4 linked regions of the Schizosaccharomyces pombe genome follow. The gene in region 4 interacts genetically with the main gene of each other region. Each region holds a gene or a part of one and is shown on either strand. Other genes may lie near its edges. The genes, in order: mad1, med1, ccp1 and dad2.

Region 1 (8,005 bases), on a different chromosome or scaffold from region 4:
ATTGTGTCTGTGTATCCAAAGTGGAAGGCTTTATATCGAAGGCAGCAAAATCACGGCAGGCTGGCAAAACATTTCTTCCCTTATTTCTTTGGAAAACAGGGTTATTACTGGCAAGTTCGATACACGAGATGAAATGTTGAGCACGAGAAAACTTTGGGTGAGATAAAAATTTGATATATTCTGGCCCCCAAATACCCTTTTCTAATATATGAATTATACAAGTGGGATATACGTCTGAGAATGAGTCTACATGTTTTGACATTTGGTTGAGGGCAGAAAGACTCGAACAACCGAGAACATAAAAGTATTGACGCTTCCTAGGAGGACCCACTACTTGATGAGGATAAATCCATGTAGTACCATCTTTGCTCAACACCGCTTCACCGGCGCATAACTTGCCGTTTGATGGGCCAAAAGGAACTCCTAGAGCTAAAGCCTTGTCCGCATTAAACACTCCAGCTGCCTCTTTGCTGTTGAAAGAAAGAAAAGACCAATTGGAGTATATATTCCCTTTAATCGTACAAAATTCCGGCTCATCTAAGTAAAAAGAATTCGTAGCATCGGCATTATCCTCACTTGAGAATGAATTAAGATCGAGTCGTAATGGACTTCCTGAAAAAAGATGATGAGATTTTTTAATAATTGAAATTACAGGTTTGGGAGCATGCAAACCCCAAGTGTTTTGTATACCACTGGATTGTAAGTAGCCAAAAAGGCCAGCAGTTATACCCCAAGCGTTCAGGGATTGTAAACTAGGTGGCATTAAAAATACACTGACAGATTTCCCTCCATAGTTAGACGCTTGACTTCGAAACTTCATTTGAGTCAGTTCTCCCATGCTTCCAATAAGGTACTTTCGATTATCGAGAGAAACGCATAGTAAAGGGGCTATGAGACTATCAGGATTCAAAGAAGAAACTACCGAAAGCATAATTCTATTCGTGTTTCTTTTGGATTTGTTTCGAAATGTCAATTGACTCTGCCATCTTTTGACACTATACCAAGAATATTTGGGCGGTAATAATTGACCGAATAGCAGCGCCCGCCGTGGAACCAGAAGAGAAGCTTTCATCCCAGCATCCTTCTGTTCAATATTTCAGTTGAATTGCAATTATTGATGCCGTTTGGAAGTCCAAGTCAAAGTAAGGCTACACCTCTTTTACTTTACCTAAGTCTCATTAGAAGCTCTAGATACTTGTTACTTGATTCGAATTCTGGTGGTAAATTTTTGTTACCCAGAGGCAGTCACAAATGTTTGGACTTCAAAGCAACACCAGAAACTTGTTACAAACCAAACTTCATCAAAAATGGTAAGTGTGGATTATACCATTTGCATTGAGTACTAATTCCATATTATTAGGCACCTAAGAAGAAATGGTCTAAGGGTAAAGTGAAGGACAAGGCTCAACATGCCACTGTCTTCGACAAGAGCATCATTGACCGTATCAACAAGGAAGTTCCTGCCTTCAAGTTCATTTCTGTCTCGGTTCTTGTTGACCGTATGAAGATTAACGGCTCCCTTGCTCGTATCGCCATTCGTGATTTGGCCGAGCGTGGTGTCATTCAAAAAGTTGATCAACACTCCAAGCAAGCGATTTACAGTATGTTAAAGTTGATTGGATTCGAGACTTTTTAGTACATGTTAAGAAGTCTCTTTTCTGTGATTTACATTTCTTGATTTCTTTTTACTAACATTAATGTCTAGCTCGTGCGGCTGCTTCAGCTTAAATGACTTGAGAACGAAAAATAAATTTATTTTGAAGGTTGTATTCAACAATTTCTATTGTGCGTATGAATTCGTAAGATGATTAAAATGGTTTAGCAGTTTTGACTAGTTTGTAATGGTGAAATATATTTAGCGCTTAGGCCAGTACAAACTGTTTACAGTTTCATTGTATCGACATTGAAGGATATATTGATATTATTAGTTAAACAATCTATTTCATAAAAAAGTATTACTTTTCACATTTTGATTATGCGTATTTGTTAGTGTACATATTCATCGCCTGTAAGATGATGCTTAAGGCGTAAGTTAATCAATCATTTTTGTCAAGAAGCTCTAACGTTAGAGCCGCTAACATGCCTGGTATTGTTTTGCGTTCATCACACCAAAATCGTATAAGGCGCTCAAATTCGGGGCCTGATGGATTACCAACCAATTTCATGGTGCTGGATTCGCCATCAAATATAAAAGCGGTATTATCTTCACGAGAATATGTGGATGTAACACGAACACTCCCATTAGGCATAAAATCGAGCTTATATCCAAAAAGCGAAAAAACAGCTTCGCGAAATTCCAAAGACTTTACTGAAAAAATCTCCTTTAACCGTTGAATTCTCTTTTCTCTCTCGGCTACTTCTTTCTTTAAATCCAAGGCCTTTCTTTCAGCTATTTTAAATGATTGTATAGGTAGACAATCAACCTTTTTATCTTCCAAAAGAGCTTTCAAAGCTGAGTTCTCAGCATTCAGCATCTCCAATTGCGCAGCTTTAATCCTCTCATATTTCAAAGTAGGATTGGATCGATGCTGTAATACTCGACATGAGTTTATTTCAGTAACTTGTGCCAGTTCTTGACGTAAAGTTGCTATGGAGGATTCCAATGTAATAATCTGCTCCCTTAGAAAGGCTTCAATGTTGGTTTTCTCTTTAACTTGAAAAAGCAAATGCTGATTCTTACGATATAGCTCCGTTACGTAACCAGCATCTTTATGTTCGTTTTTCCTGCGTCTCTTTTGTAATGAGACCTCATCTGAAGTCTCATCTACATCAAGAGATACAGGCATACTTTCAAGCTTTAGCTTATATTCATCAACCAGCTTGACCAGACCTTCAATTCTTTCCAACTTCTTCATATCAGTATTTTTTTCACTCAAAATCGCCTCCTCATCATCATAGCTTTTAAGGTTTTCCCTTAAAAGGTCAATTTCTTGGGTTGCCAAAGATTTTTGTCTTTGTAGACGTCGGTTCTGCTCATGAAGTTCTTTAAGCTTTGTTTCAAGTTCGGTAATATGAGCGGCGTCTTTTTCATTTGCACCAAGCGGCTGGTTTGCAGGCTTATTAGACAATTGACTCTCTAAACTAGAAACGCGCTCTCCGAGATTAGCATTGGTATTCTGTAGAAACACGAGTTTGTTTGAAACAGCTTCAGGGGTTGGTAACTCGTTAGTAATTAAACTCTTCCAAGAATTTAATTCAGTTTGAATTTTTTCATTTTCGAGTTCAAGGGTAGCAACCTTATCCCTATATTCTTCAAAACGATAAAGTTTGGACTCCAAATCGTTTTTCTCTTCCTTGAGAATTTCAACATTCCTATTATTGGATGATAGCTTTTCAATTCGTTCTTCCTGCGCAGCTTTTAATTTTTCCAACTCGCTAATTTGAAGACGTTGCTCAGCATTTATTTTTTCCAGTTCAATAGAACTAGAAACCTGCTTGATGGACTCTTCCAATTGCTGATTATGAACTGAAAGCTCTTGTAATTGCTGCTCGGCAGCCGCAAGTTCCTTACACTTCGTTTCAAGCTGTTCGCGGGAATCCGCAAAGAGTTTTTCAAGGTTTGTAAGATTGGTATCCTTCATTTGCAAAGCTTGATTTGAGACCATTACTTCATGATTCTTTTCACTTAAAGCTTGATCATTCTTTTCTATCTGGGTTTTCAACTCTGCAATCTCTTTCCATTTTGCATCAAGTAGTTCATGGATCTTCACCTGAGTGGCTTCCTTTTCATTTCTTACTTCTTCTATTTCTTTTTGATAAGAAGTAGACTGCTCCTCCAGTTGCTTTTCAACTAGAGTTAGACGCAGCTGTAACGAATTCTTCTGTTCATGTTCTTCTGCAAGTTTTCTTTGCAACTCAATTTGTTCACGCTCAAATTCCAGTTCCTTCCGCTTTAAATCATTTTTTAGGTTTTCTAGTTGAAATTCTAAAGAAGCTAGTTTGGGATTTTTTGTTTCTACAGGGTGTCAGATCCATAAACAAACGTCAAATATAAGTTTCACATACCATTAGCAGAATTAACAGAAGGCTTCTTCAAATTTGGTTTCTTAACGCTTGTTGCTAGAAATCTAGGCAACTGTGAACGCGATTGGAACGGATCCCTAGGAGAATCCGCCATGGATGTAGTCGCTTGATACACTGTCAGCTTGGAGCTCATAGTGAGAAATTGATTTTTGGTATACCTCTTTAATATAATATTGACAATATGGAGGACAAATTGCATCTCAGTAATTTATTGAAATCAGGGAATTAAAGAAAGGTAGGACTGACTGCATATGCTCAAACAACATACTTGTTTAATGATATCTAAATTAATGGAACTTATTACTTTTTCTTTTTTTTTAAATCATAGACCTTGTTATTATTATATTATATATTTAATGTGTTGAATTCCTTAATCAATTTTCGATGCACGTGTGAACATAAAAGCTTTTAAGTCTTCTAGTTTTTTTATATTGATATTATTATTATTTATTTAAATTGCTAGACCAAATCGCGTACCCTAAGGAACTTACGTAGTCTTAACATAAATTATAATAGTTTTTTTTTTTTTTTTTTTTTTTTTTTTTAATAAAACTTCAATTTGAACAATTAACCAATAACTGAAAATAAACCTGATTTTGAGCAGACTTATTATTATTAAATAAAAATTATTACTTCTAGTTCATCAACTAAAGAATAATGGTTTTCGCATTTAATTTTCAAAATTGCTTGGCAATGATATAAGCTCTAAAATGGTTTCAGTTTCTTTTAGGAATTTTATTAGCATACATATTCAAGTTATCATTTTACTTTTTAATAGAAACTTTCGCGTACTTGAGAATTGTCTTTATATTTTCAATTAATTCTCCCATATTTGACAACAAAAAGCGAAACGTAAGAGCTCACAATAGCATCTAAAGTTTCGTAAAGTAGCGAAATCCACGTTGCGCTATTCTGAAGGTTCAGTGACTTATAAATGATTCTGCATTGGCTGTATGTCGATGCAGTTATTAATTCTCTTAATATATCATCTAAAGAATATTTACATCTAAAGCCATATAGTGTATAACCCATTCGTTTTGATACTGAGTCATCCTGCGAATCACTTTCAAAGCTATGCTATTCATCTAGGAAGTCGAGCTCTTATATTGGCAGTGATAAATAAATAAATTTTTTCCAACTGATGAAGGAAATAAATCGGTTTCTTTTGGGACTCTCAGGAAGTCATTCATTCTATTAATTTTGACTTTAGCTCATAATGTTTACGGAATAAGGAGGAATAGTGCAACGATAAAAAAATAGTGAGCTATATGCGAGAACATTCCTTGCCTCGCATATACCGATTCCTTGCATCACGGCCGGTATCGCTATTTTTTTTTTACCCATTAGAAATACCTTTAGATTGGAAAACACTACTGAGCGAATACTCATCCAATGTCGACTAAATTGACGTGGTCGCAATGGTCCAAAAAGCATGAAATTCCCCGTAAAGCACTCCATACTTCTATTGGTAAGTTGTTTTTATGACTTGGATTAACCGGGTCTAGGATTTTTTGCTCTATTACTTCAGGGATGTGGATACCACGCTGCTCAAATCATACCGGTTATAGAAATTGGATTCATACCTGCATTTACTGGAGATGTAATTCGTTTTAACTGGCCAGCTTTCAGCCGCCTTTACAATCGCGTTATTGGTCCTTTGATGCGAGAGTCCGAAAAAAATGCATGGAATGGTGTTATTTTTTATATGATCGGGGTATGGATTGTTTTAAAAGTTTTTCCAGAGGTAAGTAAAAGTCATTGTAATGTCTATCATTACTGTTATTATTCTTTAAGAAAAAGGAAGATATGGTTTTCCTTGTTCCAGGCGATCCGAAGGGTTTTGTTTTTTACTGGACATACTACTCTATAGAACCCATTTTTTCACGGAGAATGATTTTCTATTCTAAGTATTTGTCAGACCAAGCATATTGTTGTTGCATAGAGTTTAAGTTAGTATTTTTGATCATGATTACTCAAATCTACTTTGCCTTGCTTGATCTTTTCCTAACTTCACCTTCCTTCTTCTTTTACTTATATATTATGCCATAGTTACTAACTAAGTTCAGGAGATAGCAGTAATGAGTGTCCTTTTACTGTCATGGTGTGACACTACTGCCTCAACCGTTGGTCGAAAATGGGGCAAGTATACCCCGAAAATTGCCAAAAATAAGAGTTTGGCTGGAAGTTTGGGCGCATTCGTTTGTGGTGTTTTTTGTTGCTATGTGTACTGGGGCTTGTTTCGTACCGGTCCTGACAGCTTGGCCGCTCAAAGCAGAATTCCTTTCCCTTGGCTTTGCTTGATAAATGGATTTATTGGTGCCTTTGCAGAAGCTATGGATGTGTGGGGTCTTGACGATAACCTTGTAATTCCTGTCGTTTCTGCCTGTTTACTATATTTAATCATGTGATAACCATGTTCTTTTATACTGACATTCTTTTGTTTTTTCCATTCGTCCTTTCCCGACCACGTTTGAAAAATTATTGAATATAGTTATGTTTTGTTGATTCGCTCCTCCATTTATCACCATTTCTATTGTTCATCTTTTTTCCGTCTAACCAGTATGCGTACATACTGTTAAAATGTATAGAAATACCTACAAGCTTCATTACCCAGACAATTTTAGGCTTTTTGTATGAAACATGACGAAATCGTGCAATTAGACTGCCTATATAGTTTCTACATAGCTTGTACATATATAATGGTCGTGAAGAACCTTATATTTAGCAGTTTTACACTAGAGATTAGCTAAGTTGAAATTAGTTTTAGGAAATTAGCTTGATAATCATTTTGTCAACTCAAAGTAAATAATAATTATTTCCAATGTAACTGTCTAAAGTTAAAGTAAAGAAAAAGGACAATTGATAGTATCAAAAAAAATCGGATAGTCTTAAGCCAACTAGATCAAAACAAATTAAATAATATGAACAACGTACAGTTAAACCCAAACTTGATTGTGGTCATACAGTATTGAAATACTCTCACCATTGTGTATGCGACGAATTGCCTCCGCAAAGGTAGGAGCGACATCGATTATGTCAAAACATCCACTTGGTGTAATAGTTTGAGGAGCGGTGTTTGTAACAATAAGCTTGTCAATGCAAGAAAGTTTTACACGCTCAATAGCATCTCCTGATAAAACACAGTGAGTGACGAGAGCATAGATTTTGCTAGCTCCATGTTCTTTGACAAACTCTGCTGCTCGAACTAGTGTGTAAGCGGTATCAATAAGATCGTCGATGAGGATGGCGACTTTGTTTTGTACATCACCAACAAGCATCAAAGATGTTCCGTATTCATGTCGGCGATTCTTATGAATTAAAGCAAAGTCCAAACCCAGAGCATCAGCAATAGCAGTAGCACGTTTGGCACCACCAGCGTCGGGAGATACAATTACTGCGTTATGATAATTCGGGATATTAAGAGAAATGTAATGTTTAAGTAATGGTCGGCCAAAAAGATTGTCTACAGGGATGTCAAAAAAGCCCTGAAATTGGGGATCATGAAGATCCATTGTGATTATATGGTCAGCACCAGAGCACATAAGCAAATCAGCTACTAGCGTGCCGGATTGTGCAATCCATGGGTGATAACCAGTTTGCTTTTTGCATGGAACAACCGCATCTTGCAAGTCAGATAAAGGAGCACCGGAAAAGGAAAATTTTTGATCAGGTTGACGACTATATGGGAATACAGGAAGGACGGCGGTAACCTTTTTAGCAGATGCTGTTTTACAAGCAGAAATCATAATTAACAGTTCCATTAAATGGTCGTTTACCTGTCCAGATGCTGGACTAACAATATAAACGTCGCAACCACGAACGGACTGCTTAATTCTCACCGAAGTCTCGCCATTGCTGCAATAAATACACGTTAATATAATCAAATAGAAAAACATAGATAGATGTGATAAAGAGGTGGAATCAAAAATGGAATAAGAGTATGCATTCAAAGATGATGCTGCCAAATCTTTATCAGTCACTA
Region 2 (7,814 bases), 2.2 Mb from region 4:
TGCTGTGCAACAAATACTTTAACTTATAGTTGAACTGCAAAATTAAGAAAAGTTACGTTACAAAATGGAGTACAGAAATAAGCCAAATTTTATCACGTTTAATTATTCTTATTTGAATGCTTTAACGTGTAGTATTTTTGTATATTGAATTATTAGTTTCACCGTAGAACTGTTGATACAACTAAAGAATTCTTTGGGATAAGTTGAATTACAAGCAAATGATTGCGATAAACTGGATAGAATGCAAAGCGATTTGCAATAGTACTTAAACAATAGCACAGAAATAATAAAGAAACTGTATGATAGTGTAATTTCAAAAGTAGTTTGCTTACGTATTATTAACATTTTTTTTATTCCTTTTAATGTGTCATTATTAGCACATAAGGAAAAGTTGCATTGCTCTAAAATAAAATTACCTTAAAACATGTCGGTTTCATCATCATGTCTATCATTGCTTTGTAACTTAGTAGATGCTTTATTGTGCCTTTAGCTTGTTTTTATTTTCCATATTAGTTTGTTCTAAGAATTGGGTAACCTCGAAATTTATTACAAGGTCAATTAATAGGCAATACGTTTTTTGTTCCCTTAGTTGTAATTGTTCAAAATGAAGATTCTTGCAAGCAGTACAAATTATGTACTACATAATCGCTTGTCCAATTCACAATATGAAGATGCGCGATCAAAAATTGTAAATTTTGGAGGAGAATTCACAAACGATGCAGCAAAAGCGGATTACATTTTTGTCAATTACAGTCAAATTAACAGAGTTCGGCGAGAGCTAAGAACAATTGGAACACCGTTAGAGACGTGTGTATCGTGTAAGTTGATTGTTAAAATTGACTGGCTTAACGAGCCTAAAGAATCTTTAACGCCCGGGAATCCATATGTGATATGGCATCGAAAACCAGAGATGAAAGTTGGCTCGCCGTACACACCTTCAACAAGACCTGCTTCGCACACTGAAGCACCAAACGATTTTGAAAACCACGAAACTCCAAACACAGAAAATAATAACGAAGTTAAAAGCATTGACAATGTTGATCAAGAAGGATCAGTTTATCCGACTACGAAAGAATACCCTTACGTTCTTGAAATTCCACGGTATGCGTGCCAGAGAAAGACACCGCTTAAATGTGTCAATCAAGCCTTTGTGAATGCTTTAAGTGTCTTGAAAACATGCAGAGAAGTAAACGGTGAATCAGTAAGGACTAGGGCATACGGAATGGCGATTGCAACCATTAAAGCTTTTCCCTTGCCTATCGATAGCGCAGAACAATTAGAGAAAATGCCCGGTTGTGGGCCCAAAATAGTACATCTTTGGAAAGAGTTTGCATCAACGGGAACCTTAAAAGAAGCTGAGGAATTTCAGAAGGATCCGGCTTCAAAAATTTTGCTTTTATTTTACAATATTTTCGGAGTTGGTGCTTCTCATGCTGCTGAATGGTACCAAAAGGGTTGGCGTACGATTGAACAAGTTAGGAAGCACAAAGATTCATTTACCAAACAAATAAAAGTTGGTCTGGAGTTTTATGAAGATTTTTGTAAAACTGTAACCATTGAGGAAGCCACGGAGATTTATGAAACTATTGTCTCACGGATGCCGGATGGAATTAAAATTCAGTCTTGTCTAGTAGGTGGATTTCGTCGGGGAAAGCCTGTTGGAGCGGACGTTGATATGGTGTTGAGTCCATCACATACTCATTCTACAAAACATCTGGTGGATGTTCTCTTAAGAATTTTAGACGAGGAATTTCAATTCCGACTAATTTCTGTTCAGGAACATTCTTGCGGAGGAAAGAAAGGTTATGTAATGCTAGCAGTCATTTTGTCAAATTCTTCTAAAATCAATAGGCGTGTTGATATTATAGTAGTGCCGCCTGCATACATAGGCTCTGCCGTATTAGGATGGAGTGGAGGAATATTTTTTCTTCGCGATTTGAAGCTTTATGCTAACTCTCATTTGGGTCTAAGCTATGATTCGTTCGAAATCATAAATCTTAAAACAGGAAAAGACATATGTCCCGACGAATTTAATGAGTGGAAGGATCCCGTGGAAGCTGAAAAAGACATTTTTAGATATTTCTCCCTAGAGTATATTGAACCAAAGTTTCGTAACACGGGATAGTAAATACCTATCTTGACCTTAAGATCGCCACATTACTAACTCGCGATTTCGAAAATTGTTTTACGAAGCTTCTTTTAATTTATGTTTCTTTGCTACCCGACACTTTTAGTAGATTTTTTGCTAAAAACTTGAAATGTTTACACATTTTTCCAATCGGTCTATTAGGAAACGAAATCCTTGGAACAGAAATGAGACATCAAACAAGTAAATTTATCAGAAATCTCGAATTTAAAGAGAGGGAAAATTGAGGTCTAACAGTTTGGTATACAATGAAGCTCTATGCGAATGCTGTGTTTACAAAATATGGATTTTTTTTAAAGACGAATAACGATTTTTAACGTCATGGCGTTAAAATGACAATTTTACTCATCTTAGGGCACGTGACTGGAGTGGGTTAAAAATAATAAAAAGTTGTGGCTGCAACTTTTGTTTTTTACCAAACACCTTACCTTGACACATACCTTTGGAAAACCATCACCAAAGGACTTTCATGTTTGAGACATCGTTTAAAATACAAAACTGTGCATTTAATCAACGTTCAAGGACTGGCCATCTGAAATAAAAGGAACATTTTAAAGATAATACGGATTTTTTATCGAAAGAGTGACTTGTTATGATATTTCAAATTTTAGAATAAGTCACAAGCACTAAGCGCTTTTTAAAGACATAAAGTAGAGCAAATTTTTTTATATTACCTAAAAAAATCATCGAGACTGTAATAACAATGGCAACCATTAACATCCGACGTGATGTCAAAGATAGCTTCTATCGTTATAGAATGCCAAAACTGCAATCTAAAATCGAAGGCAAGGGAAATGGTATAAAGACTGTAATCCCGAACATGTCCGATATCGCTAAGGCGTTGGGAAGACCCCCTTTGTATGTAACTAAATTTTTTGGTTTTGAGTTGGGCGCCCAAACCACCATTATTGCTGACATGGACCGTTACATTGTGAACGGTGCTCATGATGCTGGAAAGCTTCAAGATCTGTTGGATGTATTTATCCGCCGTTTTGTGCTATGCGCTTCTTGTCAAAATCCGGAAACTGAATTAAGCATTAATAAGAAGGATCAGACAATTTCCTATGATTGTAAAGCTTGTGGCTATCGTGGTGTCATTGACGGTCGTCACAAGCTTACTGGTGTCATCGTCAAGAACCCTCCTGCAAAAAAGAAGTCCCACAAACATAAAAGGGATTCTCCTGTTGCAGAGGAAGAAGATGGTGCTGAAGACGAACTCACTCGTAGAATTCGTCAAGAAGCCGCGGAACTCCCTACCGCTGAGGTCGTAAATGACGAAGATTGGGCTGTGGATACCAGTGAAGAAGCTGTTCGTGCTCGTGTTCAAGAGTTAGAAGGTAATATGAAAGATTCGCTCACTTTGAGTGACTTACGTGGCGACGAGGAAGAAGCGGAATCTAGCCGTTATGATCAATTCGGTGAATGGCTTGAAGACAACTACCCTGGTGTTTCTGATGTTGAAATTTACAAAAAGATGAAGGAAGAGAATATTCATCATAAAAGTAAAGCTATTGTTGTACTAGTTCAATGTATTATTACTTCGCCTTACGTTGGGGAGTTTGAAAAGCATGGTGCATTGTTTAAAAAGCTTTGCACGACAGATAAACATGAACGTGCTCTTCTTGGTGGGTTTGAACGTTTGATGGAAAACACTGAATTAGTGCACATCGACGTTGTTCCCAAGGTACTCTTGGAGATTTATCAGAATGACTTGGTCTCTGATGACATGTTTGAGAAATGGGGAGCAAAGGCTAGCAAGAAATATGTGAGCCGTGAAACTAGTAAGAAGATTCATGAAGCTGCTGAACCTTTTTTGACATGGTTGGCTGAAGCAAGTGACGAATCTGAGAGTGAAGATGAGGAGGAAGAAGAAGAAGACGACGACGAATAAGAACGGCCTCTTTTTACTCTCTACCACAATTTGTGCTTTGAGAATTGAATAACTTACAATCCTGTTCTCTAAAATATTAAGCTGATTCTTTCAAGTTTTAGCAAATTAGTTTCTCGTAAGTTGAATATATCTATTAAAGTGTTCTGATTTTTGTAAAATAGGCTAGCCTTTTAAAGTGTTCAATTTATACTATTCAAAACATCCAACTAATTCCATAATTTCATTTTACTAAAGATTTTTAAAACTGATTAGTAATGTCTTTTTCTAGCATGAAATTCTAATTAACGACTTTCTTTATAAACACTTCTATCGCAAGTCCGATGTTACATGTTTGTTGTATAAGTTTTTGAAAAACATGAGACTGTTGTTTTGACAATTCTTTGCCACCACTAGACATATAATCAACATTCAGTCTTCCATCTGACAATACGGATAGAACAATGATAATTTGTTCGGAATTATTCAGTTTGTTGATTTCTTGATATTGGGCATGAACGATCGGATGCTCCTTAAAATATAGAGAGAGGTGAAGGGAGGAAGATGCCGCAGTCTCTGCTAAATCTGCTGATTTGATATTTTCCAAAATCAATTGTAATAATAAATATTGGCGTACAATAGCAAGTATTCCTCGAATTTGCTTGGGATGATGAAACGGTACGTGACGCAAAGAACGTGCGGAAACATCGAACCCTGTTAGCTGGATGGCTTGATTTTTATTAATGAATTTGTAGTTCACGGTTGATTTTGAAGGTAAACCAAGCTGGTGAAATTAGTTAAGTTGATATTTAGGGAAAGTACTTACCATATGACTATAATTTTGGACAGGCCAAGGAATGGTAATGTCATGGACATGAAGCAAATCAAGTAAAGGTTTGACGCCCTGCTCTGGTATTATTAAATTGATATCATCAAAAACTAGTTCCATTGTTGTAGGAATAGGTGTCAAAGTATTTTCAAGTGCCCAATTAATTTTTGATGATTGGAGGATAGGAGGAGAATTTAATAAATTATATCCGAATAACAAGTGAGGTAGCGACTCATGAGACAAATTATCCATAAAAATTTGAGTGCTATAGGTTTTATCCAAAAGCTTCCAGTATACAATACGCAAACCAAGTTGTCCTTCGTAATTACTGAGAGGCTTTCCGTTTCCATGCATTATAACATTTTCTTCTTGTGCTAGCAAAGATAATTCTGCTTCATAAATAGCATTTAAAGAAGAGGATAGTGAGTCTAAATATTGGAAACAACTTTGTTGGACCGAAGGAGAGGAGTGATCAAAGGTAGCCAACCATTTGACATTCTTTTCAAATAGTGGGGTATTGCAATTGTAAATTGCATCCTTAAGTAATTTTTCTGCAACAGGATTATTATATTGCTCACCACTAGCGTTTGCAAAAGCCAAAACAACGTTGATATCTTTTGGAGACGCATTTATGGGAACAGTGATCTAGATACTAATTAGTAAAACGGTTATGTACAGGATTTAAACTTACGTCGATCAAAATTATTTTTCCAGCTAAACTGAGGACCACTTCATTGGGTTTGGAGGAGTCTTGAAAAACCTCCAGACCATACTTTTTAGCCAAATATTCAAATCCAGTTACAGAGATATCATTCCAAGGAACTGATGATAGACAATCAATCCAATAACGCGTCCAGTTAATCTGATTGGGGTTAGAGGCGTTTCGACGGAAATGAACTTCAGAAAAGAGATGTGGTCTATCCATCGAAAAGATTATTAAAGAAGATTTAGTAAATTAGTCGTGTATTTCGTATTTAATCAGCTTAAAACACTGTATATAAGCGCAATTTTATGTCTGTTCAGCGAGCAATTTAATTTGTTCTGCAAAAAGGAAGCCTTTACTGCCATCAAACTATTTGCTAGAAACGCATTAATTGCAAAAACAAGTAGGTAATTTTGAACCGCCTAAAACTTAGTTTCAATGGGAAGGTCTGTGTGATTGATTTATCTTTATAACGAGGGTTAAAACAGTAGTTATGGGGAATTTTATATGTATACAAATGAAAACCAATTTTAAACCTTGGACTAAAAAAAACCCAAAGTATGTTCACTCAAACTCTTTTTAAAGCATCAAAATATATATGCAGTAAATCTTAATAAAATATTTTCTTTTTGGTAAAATTTGTGCACAAATCAATAAGCGTTCTATGTTTCATTTACAGCTTGCGTGCCCTTTCAGAAGTGGTTGGTATTGATATGCAGGGTGTAGCGCGGCTTTAATTAGCCACGAACGTACTGCTACTAGTTTGCATTTTAAAGAAGATAAGAGACTGTAACTGAAGGAGGGAGCTTATAGAAACAATATTTTGTTTCAAAAAAGCCAGTAAAAGCGTAATATAGTGAGAATTTTGGCTTTTTGAAGCAAAGTTTGCAAATGGGCTATTTGCAGTCCCAAAAAGCGGTTTCTCTGGGCGACGAAAATACGGATGCATTATTTAAACTTCATACATCAAACCGGAAAAGCGCAAACATGTTCGGAATAAAATCTGAACTATTAAACCCATCTGAACTTTCTGCCGTTGGTAGTTATTCCAACGATATTTGTCCAAACCGCCAGAGTTCTAGCAGTACAGCAGCAGATACGAGTCCTTCGACGAATGCCTCAAATACGAACATTTCTTTTCCGGAACAAGAGCATAAAGATGAGTTATTTATGAATGTTGAACCAAAGGGAGTTGGTTCATCTATGGATAATCATGCTATTACTATACACCACTCGACTGGCAATGGTTTACTCCGAAGTAGTTTTGATCACGATTATAGACAGAAAAACAGTCCGAGGAATTCCATACACCGTTTGTCAAACATAAGTATTGGTAATAACCCAATCGATTTCGAGTCATCTCAGCAGAACAATCCTTCGTCGTTGAATACTTCTTCACATCATAGGACATCTTCAATATCGAACTCTAAGAGTTTTGGAACTTCCTTATCATATTATAATCGTTCATCAAAGCCTAGTGATTGGAATCAGCAAAATAATGGGGGGCATTTGAGTGGGGTTATATCTATTACACAAGATGTATCATCCGTTCCTTTACAATCTAGCGTTTTTTCCTCGGGGAACCATGCATACCATGCTTCAATGGCTCCAAAGAGATCCGGTAGTTGGCGTCATACTAACTTCCATTCTACTTCACATCCCAGAGCAGCTTCTATTGGAAATAAGTCTGGAATTCCTCCTGTTCCAACTATTCCTCCTAATATAGGTCATTCCACTGATCACCAACATCCTAAAGCAAATATATCTGGATCCCTTACGAAATCAAGTTCAGAATCGAAGAATCTTTCTACAATCCAATCCCCTTTGAAGACATCCAATTCTTTTTTCAAAGAACTTTCCCCCCATAGTCAAATAACCCTTTCTAATGTTAAAAATAATCACTCACATGTAGGATCACAAACCAAATCACACTCTTTTGCTACCCCCTCTGTCTTCGATAACAACAAACCTGTTTCATCCGATAATCACAATAATACTACTACATCATCTCAAGTTCATCCCGACAGTAGAAATCCTGATCCGAAAGCTGCTCCTAAAGCGGTTTCTCAGAAGACAAACGTTGATGGGCATCGTAACCATGAAGCTAAACATGGGAATACTGTCCAAAATGAGTCTAAATCACAGAAATCTTCCAACAAAGAAGGTAGATCTTCAAGAGGTGGCTTTTTTAGCAGATTGAGTTTTTCGAGAAGTTCTTCTCGTATGAAGAAAGGAAGTAAAGCTAAACACGAGGATGCCCCTGACGTAC
Region 3 (8,204 bases), on a different chromosome or scaffold from region 4:
GAAAGCCAGTTGAAGTAACCGCTGATGAGGGACCTGTAAAGAAAAAGGTCAATGCTTCTGTGGCATAGTCCATAATTCTTTTTTTTTGTTTTGTTCTGGCATTACTATACTAATATAGGCAAATTATTTTGGTGGTACATAATCATTGAGTTCATTTAAAATAATATTTTTACTGAGATTAAAAGTTATATTATATTTGTAAGGATATAAAATATGCGAAACGATTTGTAAAGGCATTAAAGTATTAGTATATGTATAAAAATTCGACATCCCAATGTATGATTACAATGCAAGAAAAACAAATTCGAAAAGAAAGGGCATAACTGAAATAAATAACCAAGTAATGATACAATGTTAGATGCCTATACCTAGAAATAATAGGAGAGAGAAGACAGCAATTTAATCATGCAAAAGCAACCGAAGCCGAAATTAGAAACCTAGAAGTAATTTGGAACGATATTAAGATAAATGCAGTGTAGCGGCATGAACAGGACAACCAGCAGCCCCAGTACTCAGCCAATCACGATAACATTTTAAATGAAAAATGCATAGACAATATTCTATCCTTGCAACTCTATCACCAGCAGCAAATTCTTCAAAGCATATAATACATTCTTGCCCCAGGCAAGGAGAAGTCTCTGATAGCTGCATACTTATGTATCTTCTAGCGTGTTTCAAAAATTCAGTCATGTTTCTTGGAGATGAACTATTATTACTTAGACAATTCGCAACATGAGATTCCCGTTCAGAAAGGGTTTTAAAACTTGAGAGAGGAGCATAGCAAACTGGACATTCAACAAAATCATCAGGCTCTTCAATCCTCTGCAAATTGTTTCCACAGGAAGACTGTATAACTTGATTGTTAGATCGAGTAGTGGTATCATCGTTCAAACAAGTAGTGATAGGATAGGGTAAATCCAGTTCTTTTAGTTCCGACAATTGCTGACGACAATTGACACAAACTCGTACATTGATCCATGAAGAGTCTTGTGAATCATTATCATCATCATTATCATTAGCAAGAAAATCAGGATCTCTAATAAACATGTCTTGTGGGATAAGATCCTCAGTTGGATCTACTGAAACACTGCTCACAGGAAGCTTTGCAAAACTATTGCAGCAATTGTAACAAAAAAGTTTACCACACCATCTACAATGATGTCTTCTCCGAAACCAGGTAAAAGGACCACCACAATTATTGCACTGCGCACTTTCATCGTCCAGTTGCCAAATTGCCGCCGGCGTTTCAATGAGTAAGCGTCTCAAAGCCTCTGGATAAGTCGTCTCATCCTCGTCCATACTCAATTTGATAAAAATTCATTAAACTATGTTCGAGAGCAAAAAGTTGAGTACCCGCTAGAATGGTGTTGAAAGTTGCCTCAGGAGATAAGGTCAAAACAAAAGGGTAACTTATACTGATCAAAGGAATATGATTACCGGTGGAAGTGGAAAACTCACTGCATATCGCAAAATAAATTTTTTAAACTTCGTTAACGTAAGAGAATAAGATAATAAGTCATTTAGAATATCAATTGTAGTAAATATCAAAAAGCTATCCAAGAAGAATAACTTTATCAGAAATTACGCATTTAAACATCTTTTCTTTATGTATGTTTCATAGAGCTCAGAAGCAAATTTAGCGCCGTTTCATTTAGACCTTAATATAACGATGTCAGCGTGTTTGATGAAAGTTGACTTTCTTCGTTATTATCAAGCTTGGTTTGAGGCAGTATGACATTAGATCTCTGAAATTTAAAAATTGTCGAGAATAGCTTTATGAGTTGAGGTTTCAATCATCTTTAGTTTCTTTAAATTTATTGAGGTTAGTAATATGACAATATAATTTGTTTTTATGTTTACCTCCATTGCACATTTGAGCTTATTTTGGGAATTACGACGATGCTGAACTAAATTCTTCTCAAAATTCTGGGAAAGTGCCTGAAATTCTTCCAATGCATATTCTTGGGAAGAAATAGAAGAGATCTTACTATTGACGGACTCCAATTCTGCGTTTATACTATTATATTCCACCAACAGGTTTGACAGGTTTTTCGAAGCATCCAGCTGTAATTTATCTAAAGCACGAAGCTTCTCCTCTGTCGTTCTTAGGCTTTCTAAAATCACGTCTCTGAATTGTTGGGTCAATTAGCTGAAGAAACTTATGGACGTACTTGACACGTGCATTCAAAAAATATGAATGCAATGCACTATCATGATGCTCACTGAATGCTAATACTGCTTCAGATACCATGTTAGCATGGCGATTGCTCAGCTCTGTTTGCAAAGACGTTATAATTTCAGACATGTTGTGGTTCTTGATAACATGTTAATAGTGTCTACGCGTCTTTTGTTTACATCAAGCTAGCGATATATAGCGTACTGTTTTAGCTCACAAGACTTTCTTTGTGTTCAGTTTCTCTTAAAACATTTAGTCTTAGGTTTTTAGCAATAGAATTAATTTTTTAGCACAAAGGCTAGAATGAAAGATTGCTTTTGGCCATTGAAAACGTTTTATTTACCTAGATGTTTACATTTAATCTAACATACAACGGTGGAATACGGTTGAATCAAAACAAAATAGTGACAAGGGGAGGTTGCTGTTTTTTCAACAAGATTGAGATATTGCTTTCTTATTTATTCTCCATTACTTGTTTTGTAAGGACTCAATGTTTACGGTGATCTTTGAGTGAGCAGTTAGGTAGCGTTATCTATCGTAAAGTCGTTACTTGACTGAATCAGCACAGTACTTTAGTATTTGCAGACAGCATACCTGATAATACGAATTTGCTTCGTTTATTTTATATTATCTTATTTTTCTTTAAATTATAAAAGCATTTCCAAGTAGAAAATTGGCTCATATCTCTACATCATCAACATGGAGGACCCCTTTTATGAAGTCAAAGCGTAAGTTGTGCAATGATGAACCAGAAATGTCTTAATAGATTCCTTTTGTTGCTTTAAGATTTTATTTAACTGACATTTATTCGAAATATAGGGATGCATCAAATCAAATGGAGCAAGTGCGAAAGCTTTACAATTCTTTTATGGCCGCACGAAACTCTGGAGTCCTTTCACCAAATACTGAGCTTACTTACGCCATTGATGAGTTAAGCGAAACATTGAAGGACTTAAAAGCTGCTGTGGAAATAGCGATGAAAAATTCTGAGCATTTTGGGTTAGATGAAGAAGAACTAAAGTCGAGAAGGAGATTTGTCTCGGAACTGGATATTGAGTTAAACAATATACAGTTAAAGATGGGTGCTGCCCCAAGCACACCAGTTTCTACAGAACCTTATACTGTTGACAATGGTGCCTCAGCTGGTTTGTCTGAAGAAGATCATGCTGTCAATCGACAATATCAAGAGCAGCTTTATCAGCAACAAGACGTAATGCTGGACGGGGTTTACGACACGATTGGAAACATTCGTGGGCAGGCAGCTTTGATGGGCGAAGAATTGGGTCAACAGGCTGACTTGTTAGATACTCTTGACAATTCCATTGAGACCACTAATAGTAAGCTTCGCAGGGGTATGAAGCGGTTGAAAGATTTTACGATTGCAAGCGCAGACTCTAAATCTGGATGTTGTATTACCGTACTCATTATCATCTTAATTGCATTGTTGGTATTGGTTATTGTGCTGTAACTAAATCTTTATATTGTATTATTTAATTCTTTGAACCATCTTCCCAATAAACGAATAACCAATCATTCCATAGGTAACCTCGAGCTTTGGGAAGACAAAAAAAATTTCATGTCTGTGTTCTCGTTCCTTAAATTAATTAGACTTCTTGGACTTTTTGGAAGGTGGTTCTGCGATTTTTGTGTTAGTTTTACAATACATTGACATCTATCATATCATCTATTCATGCTTTCGCCTTATTTTTTTAAGACCTGTTTTCGTACCTTGCTTTTCTTCGTCCCCTTCTTCGTCTTCTTCGTCTTCTTCTTCCTCATCTTCCTCCAAATCTACTGACTCATCCTCATCACTCGCTTCTTCGGTCATGGCTTCTGTAAAATATTTTACAGCATTTGGAAAAAGATCCTCTGCCAGAAAAATTGTGAGTGTTGCTCCATCAAAATCATCGTCCTCTTCCTCTCCGGTCCATTGAAAATAGTCAAAAAAATTAGGAGGTAATTTTTTATTTTTTCTAAATAAACTCTTTCCTGGTTTCCAATGTATATCAACAGGTTGCGAAGTATACTTGGTTATCTTTTTTTCCAAACCCTCATCATCCTTTGCTTTTTCCTCTTTAATTCTCACTTCTTTTACCAAGGTAAGGTTGTCGTCCTGAAGATATTCGTTTGGTTGAAAGGTAAGCGAAATTCGGACATCCCTTGGTTCCTTTTCATTAAACCTTTCAACATAAATATTTTCGAGTTTTTCAAGTAACACACTATCTTCAGGTGTTATGTACTGGCCTGAAATAACTTAATTAGAATTTCAACAATGTTTAAACAAAAACAATAATAGTATACAATTTTACATACTGATTTCATCCCCAGCAGCTTCCAGAACTACTACCCAAAAGTTGTTAATGGTCTTCAAAATATCACGACGCTGCTCAAAAAGCGGTTGAAAAAGCTCATTTTGTTTCTTCACTAGCACCAAGATACATTAGCAATTGTTAACACATTTTTTATAAAAAACGTAATTTTATGCTACAAAAATGCAAAATCGATTAAACATACATATTTCGATTTCTGCTTTTCCAAACTCTTGCTCTAGGTTTGCGAGATTTTCAAAAGCTTGAGCTGCCTCCATTTTGTAGGTTAATTTCGTGCAAGGGAGAAAAATCTAATAGTAATTCGAAAATTCTCACTTCGTCAACGATGATGAAGGCACTACCCTTACCACGTTTTTACGTACGATGAACAATGCTAGCAAAGTATATCAGAGGCTTTACTTTCCAATATAATGACTGCCGTAGCTTCTGTAGCTTGCAATAATTTAACCTTGACTTTTTCAACAGTATACAAACCATCCATATTACTAGTAATCGAGCAGGATTCTAGTTTTTAACTCACACCATTTTCATAGGTTGTTTTTATAAGTGTAATAACTTATTAGTCTGAACAAAGAGTAAAATTAGAAAATAAACTGTAGTTTGCGCGGTTTCGAGCTTTCAGGCTAGCGTGCTTGCATTTTCCAAACTTCTCCTGACCATGATGAAGAAAGGAGAGGAGGAAAAAAGGTATAACATTTCGAATGCAACTACAAATTTGTATTATATTGCATTATATGAAACGCTGTTATAGTTTACTGGTGTATCTATTTTATCAGTTATGAAGTATGTCTTTGTAGTTTAATCAAAAATCCATGATTATGGTAAAACAATGAAGAAAAGTTAACCAAACGCGATTAAAAGTTAAAACTTTTTGACCGCTTCACTTCAAACAATGAAGCGCTTTGCATACAAATGCAGATAATCATTATATCCAACTGTTCGTTATCGATTGAAGATCTGAAGTCTGATTCATCTTATCCAACTCAAAATTACATCTTAACTAAAGAATGTATGATCCGTGCCGATTATCGCATTTATTCGGCTCAAATCAATCTATACTCATTACAATACCAGTATACTGCGTTCTTCCATCTTTAGTATACCACGAGCGAGAAACTTCTTCCTCCAGCAAATTCGCGGCAAACAAGCAATTTATCTAAAAATCCAATTCAGAGGAAAGAAAAGAAATAGAATTGATAATAATTATATTTTCAAGTCCTATATTGCCGTCCTGATATAAACTGATTTGCTTTCTTTCCTTCCAGTTTACACAGGACGAATTTTCAACCAACAGTTTAATTGTGAATAAATATATTTGCTTCCTATTAAACTAGTAAATTATTGGCAACAATAGTTGGTAAAAGCTGTTCATGGATGCGGCGAAACGTCTGGAACTATGCAAGGAAATTCAAGAAAATGAAATTGAGGCCCTCAAAGCCATTTTTATGGATGATTTTGAGGAGTTGAAAGTTAGGAATGCTTGGAATGTATGATTAATGTTTGTTCACTACCCATTTACTAACAATGGTATCTTAGGTTACAAACGGCCATGTTTATTGTATACATCTATGTTCAAGAAGTGCAAACTCTAAAAGTATTGCGAAACTTGATCTTTGTATTGAGCTTGGAAGAAGCTATCCTTATGTGAAACCAGTGATCAAGTTACAAAATGGAGAAAATGTCCTAAACTCTCAGATTCGATTTTTGCTTGATAAGTTAGATACAAAGGCAAAAGACTTGCTAGGAGAGGAAATGATTTTTGAACTTGCCAGTATAGTGCAGGACTATCTTAATGATTGGCAGTCTGACCTCTCTTCTCAATTTGCTAGCTTGGAAGAGGAACGTGCGGTACAACTAAAGCATGATCGAGAGAGAGCGGAAGTGGATTTACAACTTAGGTTAAAACGGGAGAAAGATGCCTTATTTGAGGAAGAACAAACGCTTCAGAACAAAATTCAAGATGAATTACAACGCCGCTCATACGAAACACCGCAATCTTCTTCTAAGAAAAAGACGAATAGTAAGGAAACAACTTCTCTCGAAACCCTCCCAACTTCTATTTATTTTGATTGTTCTATATCCGTTAGAGACTGTCACGATTCTTTGGTTACATTTAATAGAGTGCTTCCTTTGTATACAATCTCGCATTCCAACCTTTCTACTTTGACTTTGGTCAAGCCTGAATCTAAAGAGATATCTTTACAGGATTGTGTTTTTCTACTTAGAACCGTCCGAATTAGTACGCCTTACTGGAGTACAGAAGACGGAAAACGTGAAATACAGGAATTAGAATATGAACTTGAAAGTCTGAAAGTTATTCGGCATGATTTACTAGCTTCAATTTATGAGTATCAACTGGAAAGAGAGACACGAGGTTATGGTTGGAGGTTGTACGTTTTGCAAGAATATTCTCCGAAGTTCACTCTGTTTAGTCTTTTACAAACCGTCCTTACTTTAGACGTTGAAACCGTTAGAGCTTTTTCAAACAATATTTTAGAAGGTTTAGCTGAGCTGCATCGTCTTGGAATTTCACACAAAAGTTTGCACTTGGACAATGTGGTGCTTTTTCATTCAGGCCATAGAACTTTTGCAAAGCTAATGGATTTTGGGTTTACACGCACTTTACGAGACATGAACGCATCTCATCCTTTTAACATTAATTCTCAATCCATTACCAATATTCTACCGGAAGGGCTGTATCCCCCAGAGGTTTCTGAGTCATCATTTGCAGCTGCATCGAGAAAAACTGACATCTGGTGTTTTGGACTATTAGTATTGCAGATGCTTTGTGGAGCTCACGTTTTGAATAAATTCTCTTCACTAAAACTGATTATGACTCATGTAATTCCTCTTCTTCCGGGGTCTTATCAAGATTTGGTTCGTCGCTGTTTAATGCGCGATTCAAGGAAACGCCCTAGCGCCATTGACTTGTTAAGTAGTCATGTCATTCGTTTGGGTACAGCAGTTCTTCCTCCAGTTGAGCAGGGTACCTTTTCAAAATCTGCACGCCCTTCTTATGGTGGTCAACAGGATGGAATTATTGATTTGTTGTACAGGAAAAGCGTTTCACGTTATGAAACAGATTTTGAAGAACTTGAATTTTTAGGACGTGGCGGTTTTGGTGAAGTAGTTAAAGTCAAAAATCGAATTGATGGAAGGTTTTATGCGGTTAAAAAGCTTGTCCTTTTGAGCGATGATAAAGAGAATAGCAGAATTTTACGTGAAGTTATGACTTTGTCTCGTTTACATCATGAACATGTAGTGCGTTATTATACTGCTTGGGTTGAAACTGAAGCTAATGATACTGTAACTGAGATAATTAGCTCCGATAGTGAGTCGTTGAGTCAATCTTTAAATATGGCAGTGGACTTTCGGCAATCTTCAAGTCTTCCAGCCGATAAGCTTTCTAGCCTCGATATTCACTTTGAAGATGATTATAATTCATCTGCAGACGAGGAAGACCCTGAAGCTTCTGACATCTCCTTTCAGTATTCTAATACTTCAGATAAAGAAGGTTCTTCCGATAAAGACAGCAGCATTGAAGAAGCTTCTTCAGTTAAAACACAAGAAAATGGTTTGAATGCTACGCTCTACATACAAATGGAATATTGTGAAAAGTTGTCATTGCAAGATATCATACGAGATAAAATTCCTGTGGATGAAATGTGGCGGTTGTTTAGACAAATTTTAGAAGCTTT
Region 4 (6,995 bases):
CACTCAACATCAGCAGAAGATTGGATTCACATGAAGCCAGGAGAGTTTGCCCTCTTGGAGAAAAATCTTCTGTTGGTGAAGACATTAGACCATGTAATGGTTATAAAAGGAGGAATTCGACTATCTGCTAGAAAAATAGTTGATCCTGTCGAATGGGGGAAAACATTTAATAGTGGACGAGGGGGTCGATTCCAATATGTGTAAATGATTTAAACGGTAAATAATAAAAAATTGATAACTTAATGCTTTAATTTAAATATTAATTTCCTTTTTTATTCGATTGGCTAACGTCAATATCCTTTAAAGCGCTAATGTAAATTCTAATACATACTCAAAATAGTCTTGCGTCAGCTTGAAAATAATGTTGGTATCATCTCTAAAACGGAGAAATCCATAAGAGTGCTTTTAATAATAAGATTAGCGCTATTGTATGGGGCCTTTAGATTCTTAAAGGTGTGTCTCTCCATTAAAAACTCCGTAGCCATACAAGTTTGATCCTCACTTTCACCAATTGAATCTCATTCCAATTTCTAGAGCGGTTCATATCATACAGTGTAAGCTAGAACCAGCGATCTAAAAAAAAGAGGATAAGAGTGAATTGATGAAATCAATTGAAGATCCAAAACTTTATTGTTCGCAGCGTTGGAGCGACCAAAAAGCGAACTTTCACAATTTGAACCATTCCATGTGCGAAAAAAACAGCATTATGAATTAATTTCGTTCCACTCAACCCTTTTACCATAGCATCATTCGCAAAGACGTGAATGGAAAAAATAATATTAGACGTCTACAAATTGGCAAAAGGACATTGCAGGTCATCAATTATTGAAGAAGGTAAATCGAGTTTTCATCGATTAATGTACTATCATTTATAACAAAAAACTCACAAAGTAACAGTAATATAACTCGTAAACTGGTAAATTGTCAATCGATTGGTTCAGGGAATTAGCGTCTATAAAGTATGAATACAAATGAAAGAAGAATATTTTTGGTAACTTTGAAAAGAGTAAAAATTTGCGTATTATTTAGCTGTCATGCTCCAAAATCTGTAGGTCGATCTTCAACTGAGGAAGTGATCTCCGATTTCCGTGTATCAAAGTGTCAGAAGACTGCTCCTCGCTAGGAATTAATTCAATCGTTTGATTAAAGGGAATTTTCTGCTCGTTACAACGACGTTTTAATAGTTCAACTAGACTTACTAGTTTTACAGTAGCATCTCCTTCAGCCACAAAAGAAACTTGTTTTTCTTTGACAAAAGAATCCCACAACTTTAAAGAAAGTTGCTTAGCATTTATACTTTTCTCTATTATCATAGTTTATAAGCAAAAGCCTGCATGGCGTTTAGTAGGCTAATAACGTGGTAGTTAGACAGGTGCTCCCAAACATTAATTAATAAATTACATAGTTGAAACAACATTTTACTGCCTTGTAAAAAGATGTATGATTTTAATCTTAAAGCAAAGGTATATGATATAACAAATTTAAAATCTTTTTCGCTATTTTTATTGTAAGTACCTCAGTTTCTTGCTAGTCTTAGAGAGTTCAAGCAAAGTAAAGCTCGATCAAGCTAATACTGACACGATTCAACGTCCTTTGTAACCTTTGGAAAAAGGACGAACACGAATCGTATACACACCAAAATGCTTATAAAATACGAACATGTTACAGAGCGCTCACAAATGTCTGAATTTTAAGAAACGTAACTATCGTAGATTGCATATAATAGGAATAAGTAGAAAAGAAGAGTAGATAGTAAAGTTAGTAAATTGCAAAGTTAAAGGCAATTTGCATCTAAGGCAAAAACTGGTACCAGGGGATAAAAAGAGGGAATGAAACAAAGAGGTCTTTGAAGATGATCATGATTGGAACAGTTTCGATAATATGGTAATTAAATGGAGATCCACATAATGCTCAATACTACGTCAATAGCCTCACCGCTCTCTTTGATAGTAGTCATTCCATCCTTTTCACAATTCCAGCAAGCAGCGTGAGCTGCGTGAACGCCTCTAGAAGGATGATCTTCGGGAAGCTTTTGTACAAGAGTGGAACTAACAATCCATTTGTAAGACTGGGTTTCCTTATTCAAAGCATTTAATACGGCATACTAAATGAGACATAAAGTTAGCTACCATACATAGATATTTGTAAAATAAAATGAACTTACAATAACAGATTGATTCATTTCAGCTGTTTTGTCTCCGTCATATTCGGAAGCCTTCAAAACCGGCTGAGCAGCTTCTAGGCAAATTTCTTCAAGTTTTTTGGAATCTATAGGCTATTTTCATAATCAAATTAGTAAACGAATCGCGTATTTGACGACTTACACAGCTCATTTCGAAATGGGGTATTTTGATGAGTACAAGGAGGGTACGCAGTGAGATAAAGACACCCACAGCTAGTACGACGTTTAACGGTGACAACCCCATCGATACAAAGTTCAACGCGAACATAACTCACGTTAACATTTCTTTTTATTGTTGATTTCTTTTTGCTTTAAACCTGAAGTTAAGTAAGGATTTTTCGCTTACAGCGAATCGTCAACTTCACGTTGGGATGAATGAGATAATTCAAATAAAGCATCAAGTATTGCTTTAAAGGAAAACAGCGTTTATTTCTATTTCTTACATTCTTTAATTAATACCAATTTGAAAACAGTTGATGGTTGAAACATCGATAATTGATTTCGAAAGAAATGCATAATGATTTTGGAAACCATGTCTTCCTCTAACCGTAATAATTGTATCGAAAAAACTCATAATTACACATAATTACTGGTGTTTGGATTACCAAAAGACATTAATGTGTGCTTTACGCTTTTAACAATACTCTTAGCAAGTCCAGTTTCAGTAATGAATTGAGTGTGTTTCTTTGAAGACGGGCCGAAGGAAAAAACAACAATTTAAATTCTCTGAACTTAAAGTGTATAGAATCTGTTTTTAGTTATCGAAATGTTAATTCAGCATGAAGGGAAAGCGATTGTTTTGCTGTTCATAGAATCCAAGTATCAATGTAGCGAAATCATCCAAATCTTTAACTATTTGATCATTGAATAAAACTACAAGATAATTTATGTTTAGTATTCCTACCATTAGTTCTTTCAATAATTTTACAAAAATGGAGAAGATCTCATCGGTACTGCGATACATAAAGATGCTACTACCCAAAGATTTTAAATCAATGATCCTTTCAATCCCCTAACCCTTTTATCCTTTTCCTTTTTTTTCTTTCCTATAGATTATTTACTGACTTTTATTTACAGGGACATTCTGTGATATAACGGTATTATAACTTGTTTAATTGTTATATAAATGTAAACGTTATTGCCGAAAACCATGTATAAAGTGCGTTATTCTAAAACTGTATATAGAATATAATAACATACTGCGCGAAATTTAATTGTGAGATCGAACAATTCAGTAACTGAGTATTTGGAGTAATAGTGAATTTTTGCGAAGGAAAATACTCGATTACCATGTAAACAAGGGTTTGATGTATGTTAAAAAGTTGTTAATTAGAAATGGATAATAGCCACTCTATTATAATTTGTTCTAAAAAAGTTGGGTATTCTTTAACGACCCGTTGGAACCGATCATTGAAGAAACTTCAATAGTGGATGAGACATTTTATGAATTTTTAAATTAGTCAAATACGGTTCAAATTTTAGAAAACATACGTGGAAGTTGCATCCTGTCTAGAATAAAAAATTCATTTCCTTATGTATCGGAACGTTGACAATCTTGTTGACCAAAAGAATATACTATCGAACCCAAATCTTAAAAGTCTTTTAAGCCCATTATACCTTGTGTAAAAAAAAATAAAAATAAAAATAAAAGAAGAAATAGTAGAGAATATGCACAGTTTTGATCCTCTTTAAAACTTTAGAGGGATGAAGCAATGCATACTTACTTAGTAAAATATGGATATAATAAGCTAGCTAAACTTGACCCATTATTTGAGTAATTATATTCACTATTCAACATAGTTTCCTAAATTCATTATTACTTTAAATTAATGAACTAACTAATTTATTAAAGATGAAAACAAATGGTTAAAATTGAGTAAAATCAATCATTATATTTTTTGTTAGTCTCTATTATCAACCTCTTTATTAGTAATACATTCCGAGATATAAAATTCCAGAAACGGAAATTATTTGTTTTAAACGTATAATTACAAAACCGAAATCGCCTTATATGGTGTAGGAGATAAATCTAGTAAATTTCGTACCTTCTTCTACAAACATTTGGCGTGAACATGCTTCAAGCAAGGATTGAGGAAAAGCAAAAGGAATACGAACTAATATGCAAACTAAGAGATTCTTCTAATGATATGGTTCAACAAATAGAAACGCTTGCTGCTAAATTGGAAACTTTAACAGATGGAAGTGAAGGTATGTTCATTACGAGGAAAGTATATAAAAGAGCCTTGTCACCAATCTGTTTAAGTGCTATTCATGTGAACAAGTATAAATATCATTACATTGAGAAAAGCAAAGAAACAAGTGAATTGATTGGATCTGCAGGATTGCAAATAAAAGCAATCATTTGCCGACATGTCTCTAAATGAACTTCTACCTCTCAATAATTCACCTAAACGTAAAAAATATAATCTGTTTATTTATTTATTTTTTCTATTTTCACTACTACTCATACATGCTTGACGACTCTTTTTAATCCATTATAATAAATGTTTGACACTCAAATCACTAACAAAATCAGCTGTTGCTACTGTTCTCAATAATTGGCCCAGCATTTTTGAGTCAATACAGATAGCATCCCAACATTCAGGAGCTTTAGTCCGAATTCCTCCTTCTACTTCAAATACCAACGCATCTGCTACGGAGCAAGGCGATGTTGAAGAGGTATAAAGACTTAAATACTCTTTTTAATTTCTCACTGAAGTAGAAAAGGCCAAGAATTGGTTAAAATAAATATTATTGTTCTGTCCATTTATTCATATTGTTTCTTCTATTTCAGAATTGGTAAAGCCGACAGCAAACCCAAGTTCCAAGTATCTTCACTTCCTAATGAAATGGAGAATGAGATCACCTTGTAAACTAAATGATATCTAAATTTTTCATTTGGTCATTTTCTTTTGGCGTTCGTCCTGTTTCGCTTGTTTGAATACTCCCAGCATTCCCTTACGACAATTAATTTCTTCAAGGACAAACAATTTATTCAGGAGTGATACTATTGTTATGTAATCAACAAATATCGTGGTCCGATGCCCGATTTTTTAAAAAAAAGTTAAACTTATTTATCTTAACCTTCGCCAACCTCTCGCCATCTGCCACTTACCTTTTTAAAAATATTTCTTAGGAAATCTTGTTGATCTTCCGCTAGAACTTTTTTAAATAACCAATAAAAGGCGCTTTTGCTGGTCCATTAGTTCCATTTGTCACAAATCTGCTTTTTTTACGCAGTTTTACATCTTTAGGAAAAATCAAATAAATTTTGTCAGTTAGTATTTAATATGCCTGTTGATATCAGTTCTCTTTTGCATGCTGGGTATTCAAACCCGTTGCTTCGTGAATGGCAAGGTGTACGTCCCATTACCAAGTCATCTCTAATGTATCCTATCTTCATTTCCGAAATAGATGATGCTAAGGAAGCCATTGATAGCATGCCTAATCAATTTAGATGGGGTGTTAATAGATTGGAAGAGTTTTTGGGTCCTCTCGTCAAAAAAGGTCTTCGTAGTGTAATTCTGTTTGGTGTCATCGAGTCCAAAAAGGACTATTGTGGTAGCATGGCCGATTCCGAAAATGGACCAGTTATTAAAGCCGTTAAAGAAATTCGTCACCTTTTTCCGGAGCTGGTTGTTGCTTGTGATGTTTGTCTCTGCGAGTATACTGATCACGGCCACTGTGGTCTGTTATATGAAGATGGCACTATCAATAATGCTAAATCCGTTGAGAGAATTGCTGAAGTTAGTGGAAATTATGCCTTGGCAGGCGCTCAAATAATTTCTCCTAGTGACTGCATGGACGGTCGTGTTAAGGCGATTAAGCAGAAACTTGTAGAGTTGGAACTGTCTCATAAAGTATGCGTTATTTCCTATTCTGCAAAGTTCGCTTCTGGTTTTTTTGGTCCTTTCAGAGCTGCTGCTAATGGTGCCCCAAAATTTGGTGATCGCAGCTGTTATCAACTTCCCTGTAATGCACGTGGCTTGGCCAAAAGAGCAATTCTTCGCGATGTTAGAGAGGGTGCTGATGGTATTATGGTAAAACCGGGAACACCTTATCTCGATATTTTGGCAATGGCTTCTAAGCTAGCAGATGACCTTCCTATTGCTACTTATCAAGTTTCAGGCGAATTCGCCATTATTCATGCTGCTGCTGCCGCTGGCGTATTTGAATTAAAAAGACATGTGATGGAAACCATGGATGGCTTTATGCGTGCTGGCGCTAACATAGTTTTGACTTACTTTACTCCTGAATTATTGGAATGGCTAGAATATTAAACAAAAAATAATGCGAAATCAATCATCTTCAAAATTATCATGATTGAAAAATTATTTTGTTTATATTCTTTAATGGTCTAGAGTTTCACTTATGAAATTGTTTTTCGAATCTGCGATTACCGGTTCTTGTTTATTAAAAATTTTCGTTTATAATCTGTAGCAGTTATTTACGAAAGAAATTGTTTTTCTTTCTTTTAAAATACTTTAAATTCGTGTGTAGAACAAGATTTTATCTTAGACAACCGTAGGTTGCCAAATTATCGTGATATCCTATTGACTCCTTTTGCAAGCGATGAACGGACATGTTAAAAATTTAATATTTAATTTATATAATTTGATAGATTTGTCTCAATACTTCATGGCAGTTAGAATAAAGTAAAGTACATTATCCACGTTTACTGACTATAACTTTCTAGCATGATAAGATAAATTAAATATTCACTATACTTCACCCAAAGTAATTGGAGCATGTTCTTCTCAAACATCTTTTACCTTATGAGTCAACATTTGGTAGCTCAGTGAAGCTTCTGACT

What was found.
Region 1: mutations in dad2 (region 4) and mad1 together harm fitness more than expected from each alone (negative genetic interaction), as found in Schizosaccharomyces pombe (3 studies listed by BioGRID, with this or other methods).
Region 2: mutations in dad2 (region 4) and med1 together harm fitness more than expected from each alone (negative genetic interaction), as found in Schizosaccharomyces pombe (3 studies listed by BioGRID, with this or other methods).
Region 3: mutations in dad2 (region 4) and ccp1 together harm fitness more than expected from each alone (negative genetic interaction), as found in Schizosaccharomyces pombe (3 studies listed by BioGRID, with this or other methods).

What each region holds. Positions count from the first base shown.
Region 1 is NC_003423.3:1,272,943-1,280,947, forward strand, and holds mad1 (mitotic spindle checkpoint protein Mad1), read right to left. Parts: upstream 4,132-8,005; 5' UTR 4,118-4,131; coding exon 4,006-4,117; exon of another isoform or gene 3,956-4,005; coding exon 2,037-3,955; 3' UTR 1,897-2,036; downstream 1-1,896. Other genes in the region: 3'-tRNA-processing endonuclease Trz2, read right to left, coding at 1-1,072; rps2501 (40S ribosomal protein eS25), read left to right, coding at 1,308-1,310, 1,361-1,601, 1,706-1,728; phosphatidate cytidylyltransferase Ptp4, read left to right, coding at 5,416-5,491, 5,529-5,767, 6,090-6,431; ribose-phosphate pyrophosphokinase Prs5, read right to left, coding at 6,960-7,878. UniProt on the Schizosaccharomyces pombe protein: Central component of the spindle assembly checkpoint. Has a role in the correct positioning of the septum. Required for anchoring mad2 to the nuclear periphery.
Region 2 is NC_003424.3:536,348-544,161, reverse strand, and holds med1 (mediator complex subunit Med1), read right to left. Parts: upstream 6,253-7,814; 5' UTR 5,768-6,252; coding exon 5,534-5,767; exon of another isoform or gene 5,488-5,533; coding exon 4,840-5,487; intron 4,798-4,839; coding exon 4,315-4,797; 3' UTR 4,150-4,314; downstream 1-4,149. Other genes in the region: pol4 (DNA polymerase X family), read left to right, coding at 605-2,125; translation initiation factor Tif5, read left to right, coding at 2,850-4,037; DYRK family cell polarity protein kinase Pom1, read left to right, coding at 6,437-7,814. UniProt on the Schizosaccharomyces pombe protein: Component of the Mediator complex, a coactivator involved in the regulated transcription of nearly all RNA polymerase II-dependent genes.
Region 3 is NC_003423.3:2,390,799-2,399,002, forward strand, and holds ccp1 (CENP-A histone disassembly chaperone Ccp1), read right to left. Parts: upstream 4,784-8,204; 5' UTR 4,764-4,783; coding exon 4,691-4,763; exon of another isoform or gene 4,601-4,690; coding exon 4,490-4,600; exon of another isoform or gene 4,421-4,489; coding exon 3,905-4,420; exon of another isoform or gene 3,812-3,904; coding exon 3,777-3,811; 3' UTR 3,645-3,776; coding exon of another isoform or gene 2,996-3,644; 3' UTR 2,905-2,995; coding exon of another isoform or gene 2,876-2,904; 3' UTR 2,771-2,875; exon of another isoform or gene 2,760-2,770; intron 2,709-2,759; 3' UTR 2,674-2,708; downstream 1-2,673. Other genes in the region: tRNA dihydrouridine synthase Dus1, read left to right, coding at 1-68; pib1 (ubiquitin-protein ligase E/phosphatidylinositol(3)-phosphate binding protein), read right to left, coding at 460-1,299; protein mug20, read right to left, coding at 1,753-1,806, 1,861-2,128, 2,172-2,305; tlg1 (SNARE protein Tgl1), read left to right, coding at 2,876-2,904, 2,996-3,644; eIF2 alpha kinase Gcn2, read left to right, coding at 5,877-5,993, 6,043-8,204.
Region 4 is NC_003424.3:2,783,408-2,790,402, reverse strand, and holds dad2 (DASH complex subunit Dad2), read left to right. Parts: upstream 1-4,110; 5' UTR 4,111-4,254; coding exon 4,255-4,390; exon of another isoform or gene 4,391-4,421; intron 4,422-4,718; coding exon 4,719-4,867; 3' UTR 4,868-5,244; downstream 5,245-6,995. Other genes in the region: methionyl-tRNA formyltransferase Fmt1, read left to right, coding at 1-204; protein Pop6, read right to left, coding at 1,026-1,313; dynein light chain Dlc1, read right to left, coding at 1,889-2,104, 2,165-2,275, 2,325-2,333; porphobilinogen synthase Hem2, read left to right, coding at 5,473-6,462. UniProt on the Schizosaccharomyces pombe protein: Component of the DASH complex that connects microtubules with kinetochores and couples microtubule depolymerisation to chromosome movement; it is involved in retrieving kinetochores to the spindle poles before their re-orientation on the spindle in early mitosis and allows microtubule depolymerization to pull chromosomes apart and resist detachment during anaphase.